Tamandua tetradactyla: one gene and its partner. The protein of the gene in region 2 purifies or fractionates together with the protein of the main gene of each other region. This does not show direct contact. Links are inferred from orthologs where the notes say so. Each region holds a gene or a part of one and is shown on either strand. Other genes may lie near its edges.

What was found.
Region 1: the proteins of CDK7 (region 2) and ERCC2 purify together in Homo sapiens (affinity purification with mass spectrometry; 10 studies listed by BioGRID and IntAct, counting the BioPlex papers as one, with this or other methods). This does not show direct contact. The link is inferred for Tamandua tetradactyla from reciprocal best matches to the Homo sapiens genes CDK7 and ERCC2.

What each region holds. Positions count from the first base shown.
Region 1 is NC_135342.1:15,625,636-15,635,255, forward strand, and holds the start of ERCC2 (general transcription and DNA repair factor IIH helicase subunit XPD), read left to right. Parts: upstream 1-5,145; 5' UTR 5,146-5,273; coding exon 5,274-5,278; exon of another isoform or gene 5,279-5,353; intron 5,354-5,565; coding exon 5,566-5,665; intron 5,666-6,625; coding exon 6,626-6,703; intron 6,704-6,777; coding exon 6,778-6,840; intron 6,841-6,993; coding exon 6,994-7,107; intron 7,108-8,198; coding exon 8,199-8,315; intron 8,316-8,397; coding exon 8,398-8,514; intron 8,515-9,065; coding exon 9,066-9,189; intron 9,190-9,281; coding exon 9,282-9,378; intron 9,379-9,513; coding exon 9,514-9,620. UniProt on the Homo sapiens protein: ATP-dependent 5'-3' DNA helicase. Component of the general transcription and DNA repair factor IIH (TFIIH) core complex, not absolutely essential for minimal transcription in vitro.
Region 2 is NC_135335.1:117,430,051-117,439,065, reverse strand, and holds the start of CDK7 (cyclin-dependent kinase 7), read right to left. Parts: upstream 4,017-9,015; 5' UTR 3,896-4,016; coding exon 3,830-3,895; intron 3,538-3,829; coding exon 3,478-3,537; intron 1-3,477. UniProt on the Homo sapiens protein: Serine/threonine kinase involved in cell cycle control and in RNA polymerase II-mediated RNA transcription. Cyclin-dependent kinases (CDKs) are activated by the binding to a cyclin and mediate the progression through the cell cycle.

The DNA of each region.
Region 1 (9,620 bases), on a different chromosome or scaffold from region 2:
TTCAACCAACTATCTACATCAGTTATATTAGGAGATGCACTAGTCAAAACATAAATTTTGTATCAAATAAATATTTTTTGCTTTAGTCTCACACATAAGTTGAAATTTTAAAATATTAACTGCCATCTATTTTCAGCACCCTGCAGTAATGACATTCTTTTGTTCTTCCTCATGCAAAAACATTTTTTAAATTTGTACATTTAGTCACTATCATTATACACTCTAGGCATTCCTAGATTATACCATCTCAATCTTTATCAGCTGTCTTTCTTTCTGATTTCATTTATGTCCCCAGCCCTCCTCCCTCTATCATTCTCACATTCAGCTTTACTCAGTGTTTTAACATTATTACAGTTAGGTAGTATTGTGCTGTCCATTTTTGAGTTTTTATATTCAGTCCTGTTGTACAATCTGTATCCCTTCAGCTCCAATTACCCAATATCTTACCCTATTTCTATCTCCTGAAGGTCTCTGTTACCAATAAAATATTCCAAGTTTATTCACTAATGTCAGTTCATATCAGTGAGACCATACAGTATTTGTCCTTTTGTTTTGGCTAATCACACTCAGCATAATGTCCTTAAGGTCCATCCATGTTGTTACATACTTCATAAGTTTATTCTGTCTTACAGCTGCATAATATTCCATCTTATGTATAGGCTACGGTTTGTTTAGCCACCCATCTGTTGATGGACATTTTGACTGTTTCCATCTCTTGGTAATTGTAAATAATGCTGCTATAAACATTGGTGTGCAAATGTCCATTTGTGTGCTTGCCCTCATGTCTTTTGAGTAGAGACAGCATATAGATGGGTCCTGTTTTTTATCCATTCTGCCAGACTATGTCTTTTGATTGGGGAGTTTAGTCCATTAACATTCAGTGTTATTACTGCATGGGTAGTACTTTCTTCTACTATTTTGCTTTCTGGATTTTATATGTTATATCTAATTTTCCTTCTTTTTATCTTTACTCATAGTCTTCCTTTCTGCACTCTTCTCCACACCTCTTTCTTCTGTCTTCGTATCTGTCTCTAGTGCTCCCTTTAGTATTTCTTGCAGAGCTGGTCTCTTGGTCACAAATTCTCTCAGTGATTTTTTGCCTGAAAATGTTTTAATTTCTCCCTCATTTTTGAAGGACAGTTTTGCTGGGTATAGAATTCTTGGTTGACAGTTTTTCTCTTTTAAAAATTTAAATATATCATCCGACTGTCTTCTTGCCTCCATGGTTTCTGCTGAGAGATCTATACATAGTCTTATTGGGCTTCCCTTGTACGTGATGGATTGCTTTTCTCTTGCTGCTTTCAAGATTCGCTCCTTCTCTATGACTTCTGACATTCTGGTCAGTAAATGTCTTGGAGTACGTCTATTTGGATCTATTCTCTTTGGGGTATGCTGCACTTCTTGGATCTGTAATTTTAAGTCTTTCGTAAGGGTTGGGACATTTTCAGTGATAATTTCCTCCATTAGTTTTTCTCCTTCTTTCCCCTTCTCTTCTCCTTCTGGGATACCCACAACACGTATATTCATGTGCTTCATATTGTCTTTCAGTTCCCTGAGTCCCTGCTCATATTTTTCCATTTTTCACCATATTTTCTTTTTCTTGCCAGATTTCAGATGTTCTGTCTTCCAGTTCACTAATCCTATGTTCTGTCTCTCAAAATCTACCATTGTAGGTTTCCATCGTTTTTTTCATCTCTTCTTCTGTGCCTTTCATTCCCATAAGTTCTGTGATTTGTTTTTTCAGACTCTCGATTTCTTCTTTTTGTTCATTCCTTGCCTTCTTTATATCCTCCCTCAATTCATTGATTTGGTTTTTGATGAGGTTTTCTATGTCTGTTTGTATATTCTGAATTAATTGTTTCAGCTTCTGTATCTCATTTGAATTGTTGGTTTGTTCCTTTGACTGGGCCATATCTTCACTTTTCCTAGTGTGATTTGTTATTTTTTGCTGGTGTCTAGGCATTTAATTACCTTAATTAGTTTATTCTGGAGATTGCTTTCACTTCTTTACCTAAAGTTTTCTTGCTGGATGAATTTGTTGTCTATCTGTTCTTTGACATTCAGTTCAGCTTTATCTGGACCTCTAGCTTAAGTTTTGTTTAACAGAGGAGAATTTTTAAGCTCTTGTTTTCTTGTTTCTTGCCCTGCTTGTATGGTGCCTCCCCCACACTTAGGAGGGTCTACTTAGGTATTATAGACCCCAGCTGGATTTTCCCAGATCAAACTGGCCTCCTATCAGGAGGAAAGAGTCACCTGCATCAGTTTTCCCTGAGGGTGAGACCCAGCAGGTTGAAAGACTTTCCTGTGAAGTCTCTGGGCTCTGTTTTTCTTATCCTGCCCGGTATGTGGCGCTTGTCTGCCTGCAGGTCCCAACAGCATAAGATGATGTGGTACCTTTAACTTTGGCAGACTCTCCCTGCTGGGGGCATGGTGGGGACACAGGAGAGGTTGTAGGCTGATTTTAATGGCTTCAAATTACCAAGCCCTAGTGTTTGAATTCCTTGAGGGAGGGATTCCACCTGAGTTAGCTTCACCCCTCCCCTGGGGAAGGTACAGGCTCCAGACAAGCTGTCAAACGAGCTTGTTTCTGCTTATGCCTGAGGCAGTTGCAGCCTGATAAGCCCTGCCGCTGTATTCAAAGGCAGTCAAGCCTTTGTAGAAACAAAGCCACAAAAACCTCTGTTTCCTTTTTTCCTCCCTTTTTTTCTTTTTCCATCAGTGCTGCCCCCTTGGCGCCAGGGCAAAAATGAGAGACCTCCGCTTTGACCAGGTTCACCTGAGCTGGGGGCCTATTTTCAGTAGTCAGAATTTGTTAATTAATTCCACAATTGGCGTTTGGTTGGGCTCAGCCCCTGTTTCTGGTCAAGTCCCTTTCCTTTCCCCTCTGGGAAGCAGCCTGTGGGGGAGAGGCACCGGCCGCCATGGCTTGGGGAACTCACGGTTCTGGGGGGGGCTCACAGCCGGCCCAGCTGGTCCAGACTGGGGTACGCTGTGTGTCCGGTCACTGATGTGGCCCCAGGAGCTGTTCTGTACTGTTTCTGGTTATTTAGTAGTTGCTCTGGAGGACGAACTATAACGTGCACATTGTTAAGCCACCATCTTGGCCTGGAAGTCCCACCTTGTCCTTTTAATACATGAAACCACAAGGAACAGCTCTGTGTAGGCAATTGTTCCTATTCAGTGTTCCCCTTGGTTAAAGTTCTCAGTTCTCAGCTTTGGGGTCATGTCACCGATCTTATTAACCGGCTCAAACCCCAGTCCTCTAACTATTATTATGAGTTCTACTGGCTCCTTAGAACCCACTTCGAGAAACTTTACCTTACTTTGAAACTATATTTTCATTCATGTGTTTGTATGATGTTTTGGTTTGCTAAAGCTGCCATTTCTGCAAAATGCCAGAAATGGATTGGCTTTTATAAAGGTGATTTATTAAATTTCGAGTTACAATTCTAAGGCCATGAAAATGTCCAAATTAAGGCACCAACAAGAGGATACCTTCTTGGAGGAGAGGCAGCTGGCATCTGACCTGTCACATAGGAAGGTATATGGCAACATCTGCTGTCCTTCTCTTCGGGCTTCTGGTTTCAAATGGGTCTCTCAGCTTCTGGTGTCTCCTGGGGTGTTTTCCTTCTATTTCTCCAAATATCTGTGTGTTCTCCAAACGTCCCTCTCTTAAAGGACTCCAGTAAGCGGATTAAGACCCACTTTGAATGAGCAGGACCACATCTTCATGGGAACAATCCGATCAAAAGGTCCCACCTAACAATAGATCTGCCCCCACAAGTTTGGATTAGAAGACCGTGTCTTTTCTGGGGTTCATAACGGTTTCAAACCAGGACATATGACATTAACCATTAATGTCATTTGTTAGGGTATCCTTATTCTCACTTTAGAAGTAAACAAACCAAGTTCTTAGAGGAGAACCTGCCCAGTCAGATCAGGTATCACTCCCACCCCATCCCAGTCCTTTGCCCTCAGGATCGTCACTGCCTGGGAATGAGTCTGTCTTCCACACTGGACTGTGAGCCTGGGGCTCTTCGGTCCCTGCTATGTCCTCAGTATCCTCCAGCACGGGGGTAGGGAGGCACAGAGGAGAGGCTCAGGGAGCATGTGTTGATTGAATGAATGAATGAAATGAGGTGATTATTAAGGAAACAGCAACCTTGGTGGGGCCCGCTTTCTCCAGCCTCTGTCTCTCCTGATGAACCTTGTGGTTGTGCCAATGAGACCCCTTTCTCTAATCCTTGCTAAATAGGGAACTGGGGACCTACCCCTCTTCTCTGCCTGAATCAGCTCCAGGAACTCTCATTTCTCCTGTTATAAGCCCTTATGATTTCCTGAATTTTCCTTCATACTTCTTGTCACACTTGTAATCATATATTTATTTGTATGTTTAATATCTGTTCTTTGAGGACAGAAACAGGGGCGTTTTGGGGGTACCTCTGTGTTCTCAGAGTTCAGCACAGGATCTCAGCTCCCATAATGGTTTCTTGAATGGACAAATAAAAGCTAACATTTATTGAATGCTTAGTATGTGCAAAGCCCCATTTTAACGGCTTTATGTGGGTTAATTTAAAGGTCACCTATGTGGTAGATATTCTAATTGTTCCCAGTTTACAATGAGAAAAATAAACCACAGAGAGGTCAAGTAATTTGATCAAGGTCACACAGCTAGCAGATAGCAGAACCAGGATTTGGACCCAGGAGTTCTGGCTCCAGAGACCCACTTTAGCCACAAACTATACTGCTTTTCCATTATTGACTGAATAAAAACACCTAGCTCAGTCTCTGGAGAACAGTAGGCGCTCAATAAATGGGAAGTTATTTATTCCACAGGGGACAAGGACACAGCAGACACTTTATAAATGATACTTATTTCGTGCGGTGAAGCCATTGCGACCTCGCGGGCCCCGGAGGGATTTCCAATTTCACTGTCATTCTCCCGCAGACTCTACTCGCTGTTGGGATAATCAGGGCAGAAGTAGGAAGAACGAAGCCAACTGAATGGGATCGATCCTCTCGGGACTCCTCCTTCCGCGTTTTGTTTTTTGTCTTCGGCGATCCTCAGCGATGCCTGGGAAACCACCTCCCGCCTCAGAGCGGCCCCCCGAAGTGCGCATGCGCATTACCCTCCTGGCGGAGTGGCGTGCGGCATCAGCCAATGCGCTGTGCGGAAGGTGGAGCGGGACCGCTAAGGCGCCCCAGGGACCTTCCCTTCACTGAATATTAATGAAGGAGGCGTGTCGACGACTTTGCAAACCGGAGTCGGCGCCATGAAGTGAGATGGGGGCTGGGGGTCGCGGCGCGTGACGGGCTCCAGGGCTTGAAGTTGGGAGTACCGGTGGGGGTACCGGTGGGCACCCCTGGGCCCCGGTGGAGCGAGGGGGAGGCCGAAGCGGTGGGGTGGGGGTAGCGGCGGGAACCGTCGGGGTGGTGACGGGGATGGCCCGCGAGGAGACGCCGAGGGGCCCCGGAGGCTCCTGTGGAAGTGGACGACGGGGGAGTGTGGGGGCTGGAGGGAGGGCCGGGGGGCCGGGGGCCTGACCCCGCAGCCCTTGCTGTCAGGCTCAACGTGGACGGGCTGCTGGTCTACTTCCCTTACGACTACATATACCCGGAGCAGTTCTCTTACATGCTGGAGCTGAAACGCACGCTGGACGCCAAGGTGTGTGGGCCCGGCCGGCCGATGCCTTTTTGACTGAGATTACGGGACGTCTAGACCAGGAAAACCCCAAAGTTTTCGATATCTGAGGTTCTGGGGAATCAGGACTCTAAAGCCAGCCTCCCAGGCATCTAAACTAATAAGAGCTGGTAATAGCAGCAGCTAACATCAAAGGCTAAACGTCTCCAGCGGTTAGGAATAAATGGACTTTTGAAGTCTGCTGTCTGGATTGGAATCCAGGACTCACAGTCCACCGGCTGTGTGCCCTCAGGCTAGTCACTTAACTTCCCTGTTCCACTGTATCCTCCCCTGTCAGATACCTCATGGGTTGTTGTGATGGTTAAATGAGTTAATAAACAAAAGACAGTGGTTCACAACCAAGGGCAGTTTGCCTCTCTCCTCCTAGGGGACACTTGGTAACGTCTCGTGACATTTCTGGTTGTCACATAGTGGAGGGGCATGTGTGTTACTGGCATCTAGTGGGTAGAGACCAGGGATGTCGCTAAACATCCTAAAATGTGCCTGATAGCAATAGTGACCAAGACTTATCGGGTCCAAAATGTTGACAGTACAAAGGTTGAGAAACTTGGTTGTAAGGAACCATGCCAGACTGTGGAAGCATTTGTAAATTCAGAGAAAAAGGAGGCTCACCCTCTATCAGATATTGTGCTAAAAATTTAACCCATAGATTTTCACGATCTTCTCAGTCATGCTATGAGGAAGGTTTTAGTAGTAGACCCATTTAGAGAAGAGGATATTGATGCCCAGAGAGGTGAAGATACTTGCCTAAAACAATTCAACAAGCAGGTGGCAGAAGTGGGGTTCAAGCCCATTGCCCCTGGGGACCAAACTTTTAACTGCTATGCTGACCTGCAGCTATTCTGGGAGGGTGGTGGCACCCCAAAAGTTGGGTCCCTGAGATTCTGAGAGCCCATGTGTTATTCCTTCCACCCTCAACTTCAGGGTCATGGCGTCCTGGAGATGCCATCAGGCACTGGGAAGACAGTATCCCTGTTAGCCCTGATCATCGCATACCAGCGGGTGAGTGACTCTCTGGGCCCAGGGAAGGGGTGGGGGAGAGGCCATTCGGGGCTGAGGCCACTTGTCATTGGCAGGCATACCCGCTGGAGGTGACCAAACTCATCTACTGCTCGAGGACCGTGCCTGAGATTGAGAAGGTGAGCTGGGGCCTGTCCCAGGGCCCCCTCCTCTACTCCCGGGACTCCCTTGGTCACCAGCCTTGGGGGATTTGGGGGGCTGGGGAAGGAGCTGGGGTCTGGCTATTTAGGCGCTTGTGCTTTCACTGAGGCTGAGTTTTCCTGGCTGAGCAGGTAATCGAAGAGCTGCGTAAACTGCTCAACTTCTATGAGAAGCAGGAGGGCGAGAAGCTGCCATTCTTGGGACTAGCTCTGAGCTCCCGCAAGAACCTGTGTATTCACCCTGAGGTGAGTGTCTGTTCCCCTCTTTTCCCTAAGCCTGGGCTTGGGGCAACTCCTCTTTCCAGCCAGTAGTCCTAGATCCCCAGACCAGATTCCTCAGGTAGGTATGTGGGTCCCCTGCATGGAATCCCTTTGTCACTTGTCAAATGTGAGCTCATTGTTCATGGCCTAGACCAGCAGGGAGCCTTCCCACCTTCTCCCAGTCAGGAGAGGTTAAAAAGGCATCTCCTGGAGGCTGGCAGACCTCATTTCCTAAGCCCTGAAATTTAGTAGTTTTATCCTCTTGTACAAGTGATTTCTACCCTTGGGCCTCAGTTTTCACTTCTGTAAAATGGAAATAATTAAGTACCTGCCTCATTTGATGGTTGATAACACTGGGCAAGATGATACATATAAAGCCCTTAGAATGTACAGAAAGGTAAAAGAATGTTTGAAACTATCATAGTATTTATATCATGGTGATAGCTGACATAAGGTTATTTCGACAACCATTGTGGTCATCATATGCCAGGTCTTGTTCCAAGTCGTTACAAGACATTATTTGTAAGAATATGCAACAAACAATACATATGATGAATGATCATTTAAGAGAAGTAGTCCAGGCATAAGAATGATGAGATGGGAAAGGGAAGGAAGGGGTCAGTGATCTTGGAGTCTTCCCCTTTGATGAATGAAAAGATTTTGTTATTCTGGAAGGAAGCCCGGGGTTGTTAAGGTGCCCCTGACAGAGTCATGGAGAGTTCAGGGCTGTGCAGGGGCAAAGGGGTTCGTAGTCGGGATGCTCAGTCCTTCCCTGCTTCTGCAGACTTGCTAAGGTTCAGGGTTTATAGGTGTTTCAAAGGATAAACAGTTGTAAAGTTCTAAGTTTTTGATGTTCTCCTCAATGTCTACCCCTTAGATTTGTCAAGTCTTTAATGTTTTAAAAATAAGTGTTAAGAGTCTAAAAGCATTACCTGTTAAGAGTAAATAGTTACTTGTTTAGTCTTGACTGTTTAATAGAAAACAGTTTGATGTGTGAGTTTTCCAAAGAACTAGCTAGAGTCTCTGGCTGGTTGGAGGTGGGAGTGGGCCACTCAGCCTGTCCCCCGCACCCTCAGGTGACGCCCCTGCGCTTTGGGAAGGACGTCGATGGAAAGTGCCACAGCCTGACGGCCTCTTACATTCGGGCACAGCATGAACAGAACCCCAGCCTACCCCACTGCCGCTTTTATGAGGTACCCTAGAGGCGAGGGCATGGGGTGGACCCCTTGGGCAGATGGCCACCCTTACCCCAGAGACCCTCTCGCCTCACCTCAGGAATTTGATGCTCATGGACGCCAGGTGCCCCTCTCTGCTGGCATCTACAACCTGGATGACCTGAAGGCCCTGGGGCAGCGCCAAGGATGGTGCCCCTACTTCCTGGCCCGCTACTCGGTGAGGAGCTGGGGGCCAGGGGACCACGTGGTTGAAGGCTGCCTCCCTGTCCCTCCTGCCTCTTGTCTCCATCTCTACCTGCTTGTGTGTGTCTTTCTGTCTTCTGCCTGAGTCTGTCCTTCTCTATACCCATGTCTGTGACCATCTGTCTGTCTGCTATGAGCATCTGTCTGCCTGGGTCAGTTGGTCTGTCTGTGTCTTGTCTGCTTGTGAGTGTGCCTCTCTGTCTATGTTTGTGTCTGTCTGCTTTTCTGCATGCTGCCACCTGGGCCAGTGGGACTCTCCTCTGTACTCCTCTCTGTCTCTGTCCAGCTTGTCTGCCTGTCTTTCCCCAAGGTGTCTGTTCCCTTGCCTGTTTCCATCTGCCTGTGTCTGTCAGCCTCCCCTTCTCTCTGTCTGTTGCCTGTTGCTTCACCCACCCACTTTGTCTCTGTCCTTCTTTCCTGTCTGTCTTTGCCTCACCTCTGTGTGCCTGGGAGGGAGTGATGTGGCAGTGTGGTCAGGTGAGGGGCAGCAGGGCCTGGGGTAACCCTGCCGTCCATGTCCCCCAGATCCTGCATGCCAACGTGGTGGTCTACAGCTACCATTACCTCCTGGACCCCAAGATTGCAGACCTGGTGTCCAAGGAGCTGGCGCGCAAGGCCGTGGTGGTCTTTGATGAGGCCCACAATATTGGTGAGGAGGAAGCTGGGTGGAAGAGCGATGCTGGCCCCCCAGACTGCCATCCCAGCAGCCTGACCGAGCTAGCCCTCTCCCCGCTTCTCCAGACAATGTCTGCATTGACTCCATGAGTGTCAACCTCACCCGCCGGACCCTCGACCGTTGCCAGGGCAACTTGGAGACGCTGCAGAAGACGGTGCTCAGGTGAGGGGCCAAGGACAGCCTATTGACCCTCCCCCAGGGCCCTGCTTTCTACCTGCCCTCTCCCCAGGGGATTCAGCCTGACCTGGGGTCCCTCCAGGTCTCCCCCTGCTCTTCCCACACACCAGCTCCCTACAGGATCAAGGAGACGGATGAGCAGCGTCTGCGGGACGAGTACCGGCGCCTGGTGGAGGGGCTGCGAGAGGCCAGTGCTGCCCGGGAGACTGATGCGCACCTGGCCAACC
Region 2 (9,015 bases):
GAAAAGTCTATTACAGAGAAAGAGCATGGAGTTTTAAGTGCTAATTTATGCTTAAAAGCAAGTAAACAAAAAAACCTCCAGAATTATGGAATTGTAACCCATACCAAACTCTGAAATCCGTTCTACAACTAATTGTTGTGATGTACTTTGAAATTTACTGCTGTTATGTTATTTTTCACAAAAAAAGAGAGAAGGAGAAGTATAACAGAGAAGATGGGATTTAACAAATGAGTACAACTGCTGAATCATTATATTGATATTTCTGTTGGTCTCCAGTGTCTGAGAACAGCTAGCAGAAAAAAATGAAAAACTGTGGAACTGTAAATCATACCAAACTTTAAAATCTGTTCTATAACTACTTATTAAAACGTACTTCGAAATATATAGCTTTTCTGTATATATGTTATATTTCACAGTAAGAAAAAAAGTTAAAAACAAAAAACCCAGGGCTTTCAGACAACTACAGAACTCAATGTTCCAACAGTGTGCAGAGCTTTTATCAGGTACCAAGTGCATACAAAGGCACAAGTCACAGTCCGAGGTGTAATGCAAGTGGAAGGAAACAGACAAATTCCTAAATCAGAGGTTTTCAAATTCTGATAAATGTGAATAAAAATGACGGGAAATACAGCAAGAGCCATAGGGAAGGAAGGGGCTGTCCTCCTTGTGGCTGAAGCGCACGGGAAGAGATTTCGATGTGTCGTGAATGATAAGCATCCGCCCACGCCGAGTTCCAAGGGAAGAAACACCCACCAGAAGGCAACAACCCTGCAATGAATCTAAGTGTGCAAGGGACAGAAAGGGCACTGCGGCTACATTCGAGTGAACCAGGGACAGACCTGGAAAAAGGGAATAGAAAGGGTTGGAGAGTGAAGGCGTTTTGCCAGAGACTGGCTATGAAGCTGGATCACGAAATGCGAACTGGGTAACGAGGAAAAGTACAGGTGACTATGACGGCAGGAGTAAAGCTGGGGACAAGAGGTGGGCCACTGGTTAAGTCGCCGGAGGCTGGTAAGTGACACAAACAAGCGGCAGCGGGTGTAAGACGACGGTGGACGTAGACGAGAAGCAACGGTTTCTGAAGGAGGAGAAAGACTCAAAGCAGCAGCGGGAACCACCCCCAGGGGCGGCCCCCCTCCAGACGGTGACAGATCTCGGCAGCACTGGAGACAAGGGACCTGCACCGCGACGTCGGTTTCTTCCCCCGGGAACCGGACCCGCGCCCGCGCAGGGCCTGCGGGAACCGGCGCTGAGCCACCGCGGCCCGCCCGGGCCATGTGAGTCAAGTCCCCGCTTTAACCAGTCCCGACCTCGGCAACCGGCTGCACAAACTCGACGAGACACCGCAACTGTCGGCTTCAACGACCCCTACTGCAAAATCAAAGGTGAGCGCTTCAACGACCTCCCACGGCCGTTCTGAGGGTCACCCGACGTGCCTGGCACACGACAGGTCAGCACATCACGGCAGACGCCGCCGGAACCAGCCCAAGGCCATTTCCAGGGGCTACGCAGGCAGCTGCACTACAACGCACCGCGCGAGCGCGCCAGACGCCCGTGGGCTCAGCCCGAGCCGGCCCGCTTCGCCCAAGCCCGAACCCGCGCGGCAAACGCGCCACGCGGCGTCCCCTTCCATCTTCACGGACCGGAACCAAACACGGTTCACCACAGAGCTGCTCCGGGAACCCGCAGAAACCCTCCTCACGAGCAGGGGCAGGCCAGAGAACCGAAACGGTCACCCGTCAGTGCATCTCACACTCACACACACACACAGCCGTCAGTGCATCTCACACTCACACACACACCCGTCAGTGCATCTCACACTCACACTCACACCCACACCCACACACACATCAGTCAGTGCATCTCACACTCACACACACACACAGCCGTCAGTGCATCTCACACTCACACCCACAGACCCACACACAGCCGTCAGTGCATCTCACACTCACACACACACACACACAGCCGTCAGTGCATCTCATACTCACACACACACACACACACACGCAGGGGCAGGCCAGAGAACCGAAACGGTCACCCGTCAGTGCATCTCACACTCACACACACACCCGTCAGTGCATCTCACACTCACACACACACACAGCCGTCAGTGCATCTCATACTCACACCCACACACCCACATGCAGGGACAGGCAAGAGAACCGAAACGGTCACCCGTCAGTGCAACACACACACGCACACACACACACACACACACGCAGGGGCAGGCCAGAGACCCGAAACGGTCACCCATCAGTGCATCTCACACTCACACACACACACACCCGTCAGTGCATCTCACACACACACACACACACACACAGCCGTCAGTGCATCTTACACACCCACACACACACGCAGGGGCAGGCAAGAGAACCGAAACGGTCACCCGTCAGTGCAACACACACACACACACACACACACACACGCAGAGGCAGGCCAGAGAACCGAAACGGTCACCCATCAGTGCATCTCACACACACACACACAGAGCCGTCAGTGCATCTCTCACACACACACACACAGAGCCGTCAGTGCATCTCACACTCACACCCACACCCACACATCAGTCAGTGCATCTCACACTCACACACACACACATCAGTCAGTGCATCTCACACTCACACACACACACATCAGTCAGTGCATCTCACACTCACACACACACACACAGCCGTCAGTGCATCTCACACTCACACCCACACACCCACCCACACACACAGCCGTCAGTGCATCTCATACTCACACCCACACACACACACACACGCAGGGGCAGGCCAGAGAACCGAAACGGTCACCCGTCAGTGCATCTCACACTCACACACACACACCCGTCAGTGCATCTCACACTCACACACACACCCGTCAGTGCATCTCACACTCGCACACACACCCGTCAGTGCATCTCACACACACACACAAACCCGTCAGTGAATCTCACACGCACACGCAGGGACAGGCAAGAGAACCGAAACGGTCACCCGTCAGTGCAGCACACACACACACACACACGCAGGGGCAGGCCAGAGAACCGAAACGGTCACCCATCAGTGCATCTCACACACACACACACGCACACACCCGTCAGTGCATTCACACTCACACACACACATCCGTCAGTGCATCTCACACACACACACACACAGAGCCGTCAGTGCATCGCACACTCACACACACACACAGCCGTCAGTGCATCTCACACTCACACCCACCCACCCACACACACACACACGCAGGGGCAGGCAAGAGAACCGAAACGGTCACCCGTCAGTGCATCTCACACTCACTCACACACCCATCAGTGCATCTCACACACACACACACACACACCCGTCAGTGCATCTCACACACACACGCACACGCAGGGACAGGCAAGAGAACCGAAACGGTCACGTCAGTGCAACACACACACACACACACACACACACACATCCCTTCACGGGACTTGAGAAAACGACAAAAGCTGAAACTCACTTTTTTAATGGCGACAATCTGGTTGGTGTTTTTGTCTCTGGCCTTGTACACCGTGGCAAACTAGACAGGGAAACAGGAATAACGTGAGTTTGGGGGGGCTTTTTTGTATTTCTTTTTTACTTCTTTTTACATCTTGGGAGGCAAAGACACCAAGTTTTGGGAGTGGGCTCGCGGCGACTTGCAACGTGGTCAGACACGCCACGTCCCGCCCCGCCCGGGGCTCACCGCCGAGGTGCACAGGGGGCCGCAGGTGCGCGCGGGCGGCCTCCGGGGTCCAGCGCGCTCCCCTCAGGGCGAGGCGGCGCGACGCTGGCCGCTCTGGGCCCTCCCCGTCTCGGCCCGAGAGCCTCACCTGTCCCTCCCCGAGGAAGTCCAGCTTCTCATAACGCTTTGCTCGCGACTTCACGTCCAAAGCCATCGGGCCCGCCAAGTCCGACTCGGCCGAAAGGGTCGCCCTCCCAAGACCGGGAATTTAAAGCTCCTTCAAGCGCCGCGCGGTCACTTCCGCCGGCGGGGCGGGGTCGCGCCCGTGGCTCCGCCCTCACTTCCGTGCTGGGCCGTCCCGGCGAGCCCGCCCCGCCCCCGCCCCCCGTGGCTCCGCCCTCACTTCCGTGCTGGGCCGCCCCGGCGAACCCGCCCCGCCCCCGCCCCCCGTGGCTCCGCCCTCACTTCCGTGCTGGGCCGCCCCGGCGAACCCGCCCCGCCCCCGCCCCCGCCGCCCCCGAGGCTCCGCCCTCACTTCCGTGCTGGGCCGCCCCGGCGAACCCGCCCCGCCCCCGCCACTGCCGCCCCCGAGGCTCCGCCCTCACTTCCGTGCTGGGCCGTCCCGGCGAGCCCGCCCCGCCCCCGCCCCCCGTGGCTCCGCCCTCACTTCCGTGCTGGGCCGCCCCGGCGAACCCGCCCCGCCCCCGCCCCCGCCGCCCCCGAGGCTCCGCCCTCACTTCCGTGCTGGGCCGTCCCGGCGAGCCCGCCCCGCCCCCGCCCCCGTCCCCCCGTGGCTCCGCCCTCACTTCCGTGCTGGGCCGCCCCGGCGAACCCGCCCCGCCCCCGCCACTGCCGCCCCCGAGGCTCCGCCCTCACTTCCGTGCTGGGCCGTCCCGGCTAACCCACCCCGCCCCCGCCCCCGCCCCGTCCCGCGCCGGGTGTCCGCGCTCTGCTCCTGGGCACGCGGTGCGGGGCCACGGTTTGCGTCCTCGTGTCACGGCCCTAACGTGCGTTGTTTCTTGGCTGCTGCGGCTGGTCGGCGTTCTTACGTGGTGTTCTGAGTGTGCGACCTGGTAGGGTTGTGAGTGTGCAAGGCTTGGCCTTGCTCCTCATCTCCTGTTCTGGCCCTTGCGCGCGTCCTAACGCCGCGGTTGCTACGGACGCGGCGCCTCGCGACCTTACGGTTCTTAGGTCCAAAGTTTAAGGCTGGGGAAGAGGCAGTCTTCGTCCAGAGTCCTTGGGGAAAAGCAGGCCCAGGGAAACAAAACCCAGCGCAGCTTAAACTAGTGTACCTGTTAAAACATAAGTCAAATCGTATCATTTTTCTGATCAAAACCCTCCAATGGCCTTTCAGTGATGGTTTCCCTGGATTATCCTATCTAAAATTTCACCCACTTCCCCCACCCTCCTTCCTGTTATATTATCTCCGTAGGACTTTTCACTATATATCATAACATTTTATTATTTGCTCGTTTTCTTTCTCTCTGCTCCTCGGTTTTCTACGCAGTAAGATGGAAACGACAGACTAAACACAAGGTTGTCAGAATTGAGGTGCAAAGTTATTGATCGCTTGCTGTGATCAATAAGGGTTGGTTGTGATCAGTACCGAACCTCTTGATTCTCATAAATTTTCATTGTAATCAACAAAATAAACTGAACCCATTAATTTAATGAATATATGTTTTTTTATGTACCAGGCACAGCTATAGAGTAAAAAGCCAGAAGGGAATAAAACGGATAAAAAGCCCTGCTTTCCAATAAAACAAGCGAATAATAAAATGTTATGATATATAGTGAAAAGTCCTACGGAGATAATATAACAGGAAAGAGGGTGGGGGAAGTGGGTGAAATTTTAGATAGGATAATCCAGGGAAAACATCACTGAAAGGCCATTGGAGGGTTTTATCAGAAAAATGATATGATTTGACTATGTTTTAACAGGTACACTGGCTTTTGTGAGAGGCGACATTATAGACTTAGGCAAGAAGAGAAACAAGAAGACCTGTTAATAGGATTATTACAATAATCCATAAGGCTTGTATTAAATTGGTTATGCAACATGATGTATCACTGGGATAACTTGCCAGTTAGGCTTCTAGCCAATAGGATTTGCTCGTAGTATGGATATGGATTGTGAAAAAAATGGATATTTCCAGCTTTGGGACTTAAGCAGCTGGAAGAAAGAAATGATATTTCCTCCCTTTCTTTGCAATGGGTGTTTCTAAGAATTCAGAATCCTTATTTTCAGAGATATGTGTAGGAAATGCAGGGCAATTAGCAAGGCCAGTCATAGTTAAGGTAGTGTAGAGGTTGGATTCTTGCTCTGGAACCTGCATTTTAATACTGGCACCATTAGCATTCAGTCACTAGTAGTACGACTTGGGCACAAGTATGACTTCTGTGCTTGTTTCCTATTCTGTAATAGGGATGATGCGAAGTTTAAATGAGTTTGCACTTGTAAAGCCCTAAGAATATGGTGTGATAGCTAAGTGCTCAGTTTGTTAATCATTTTTATTGGTCACCTTTCAGCCCTTTGTCACTACTTGGGTTTTTACTGCGCGCTGATGAGCCTGCAGGCAAAATTCTAATACAGTACAGAAAACACATCATCGTTAACAGTACTATATCTTTTAATTGTGGCAACTTATCCCAGTGATGTATCATGTTGCAGACTCAGGTAACAGTTTCTAATGACAGACATCACTGTAATACTAATCCAACCTCACCTTTAGTAATGGTACGCTTGTGAAGCTAGAGATTCCAAGTGTGCAGTGCACATGAATTGATAACCACTGTATCATACCTGCTGCTGACAAGGAAACGTTTTGGGTAAGATGACAAGTATCAAGATGATATTCTGGGGTAATGGGGTAGTTATGTATATAAAATACTACTTCGCATTCGTATAGCTTTTTACAGTTTACAAAAGCACTTTTACCCATCTGTAGTAACCAGCTTCCAAGATGGACCCCAACCATCCTTGCCTCCTGGTATTAATGGACCTGTATAGTCTCCCACAAGGAAACAGGCTGTTCTGTCTGACCAAGAAATTGAGTGGCAGAAGTGATTCCAATTTCTAAGGCTACGTCATAAAAGATGCTGTTTCTGCCTTGAGAATTTGGATCATTTACTCTGGGGGAAGCCAGCTGCCATGTTAGGAATTGCCCGGACAGCCCTATGGAGAGGCATGTGGAGGGGAACGACAGCCAGCACCAACAGTCAGCCACGTGGATCTTTAAAGTGGATCATCCAGCCCCAAGAGGCATCTGATTACGACCTCAGGAGAACTGCAACTGCCCAGCTAAGCTGCTCCTGAATTCCAGACGCAGAGAGACCATGAAAGATATGAAATGATTATTTTATAGCCACTGAGTTTTGGGGGTGATATTATTTTACCAAGTAATAGATAATACACTAACTTGATCCTCCCCGATACACTAAACTGTACGGTAATGGAGACGAAAAATGAAACTTGAACAAACTAAGTAACTTGGTGATGGTTACATTTAAGTGCTAAACCCCTAAATGAAAATACAGGTTATCTCACTCTAAGCCTAGCCAGAATTCTTTCAACACTTCTTGGGAACTCATTTTCTGACACCAGTTCTTACTGACGTGGCTTTTGCCATACCTGTTGTGCTGGTTTGAAAGGATGTCTGTACCCTAAAAAGCCATGTTTTAATCCTAATCCCATTTTGTAAAGGCAGCCGTTTCTTCCAATCCCTATTCAGTACTGTTTGTTTGAAACTGTAATTAGATCATCTCCCTGGAGATGTGACTCAGTCAAGAGTGGTTGTTAAAATTTATATTTTGACAAGTACATTTTCTTATATAACTTATGTAGACAGCTTAATTGAACACCATAAGTACATGGAACCTTGAGTAGGACATGAGATTTTGTTGGATTGTCCAGAGTGATGTCCCGATAAATCCCAGAATGATTTGAACAGTGAATAAAAAAGTATTTGCAAAGTCCCCTTCGGGGAATGGTGAAAAAGGGGGAAAATTCAACTTCCCTAACTTGAATTCTTGATATTCTCACAAGCAGTGTAAACAATCAAAGCTATAGGCTGAGCCCCCAATCTTGGGGTTTGGTCATATGAAACTTAACCCCACAAAGGATAGGTCAAGCCTACTTAAACTTAGGCCTAAGAGTCACCCCCAAGAGAACCTCTTTTGTTGCTCAGATGTGGCCTCTCTCTCTCTCTCGGCCAACACAGCAAGCAAACTCACCACTCTCCCCGTGTACGTAGGACATGACTCCCAGGGGTATGGACCTTCCTGGCAATGTGGGACAGAAATCCCAGAATGAGCTAAGACTCAGCATCAAAGGATTGAGAAAACCTTCTTGACCAAAAGGGGGAAGAGTGAAGTAGACAAAATAAGTGTCAATGGCTGAGAGATTCCAAACAGAGTCAAGAGGCTATCCTGGAGGTTATTCTTACGCATTAAATAGATATCACCTTGTTAGTCAAGATGTAGTGGAGAGGCTGGAGGAAACTGCCTGGAAATGTAGAGCTGTGTTCCAGTAGCCATGTTCCTTGAAGATGATTATATAATGATATAGCTTTCACAATGTGACTGTGTGATTGTGACAATCTTGTGTCTGATTCTCCTTTTATCTACCTTATCAACAGACGAGTAAAACATACGGAATAAGATGAATAATAGAGGGAACAAATGTTAAAATAAATTTAGAGTGAAATGCTGGTGATCGATGAGGGGGAGGGGTGGGGGGTATGGTATATATGGATTTTTTTCTGTTTTCTTTTAATTTCTTTCCTGAATAGATGCAAATGTTCTAAGAAGTGATCATGATGATGAATATGTGATATTGTGATTTAGATAATATGATGATGTGAATTACTGATTATATATGTAGAACGGAATGATAAATTATGAATGTTTGCGTTTGGTGTTTTTTTGGTATTTTTTTTAAATAAAAAAATTAATTTAAAAAATGAAAAAAAAAGAGTGGTTGTTAAACTGGATAAGGTGGAGACATGTCTCCACCCATTCGGGTGGGTCTTGATTAATTTACGGAATCCTATGAAAGAGGAAACATTTTGGAGAATGAGGAGATTCAGAGAGAGCAGAGAATGCTGCAGCACCATGAAGCAGAGAGTCTACCAGCCAGCAGCCTCTGAAGATGAAGAAGGAAACCGCTTCCCGGGGAGCTTCATGAAACAGAAGCCAGGAGAGAAAGCTCGCAGATGACACCGTATTCGCCATGTGTCCTTCCAGATGAGAGAGAAACCCTGACTGTTCACCATGTGCGTTTTCACTTGAGAGAGAAACCCTGAACCTCATCAGTCTTCTTGAACCAAAGTTATC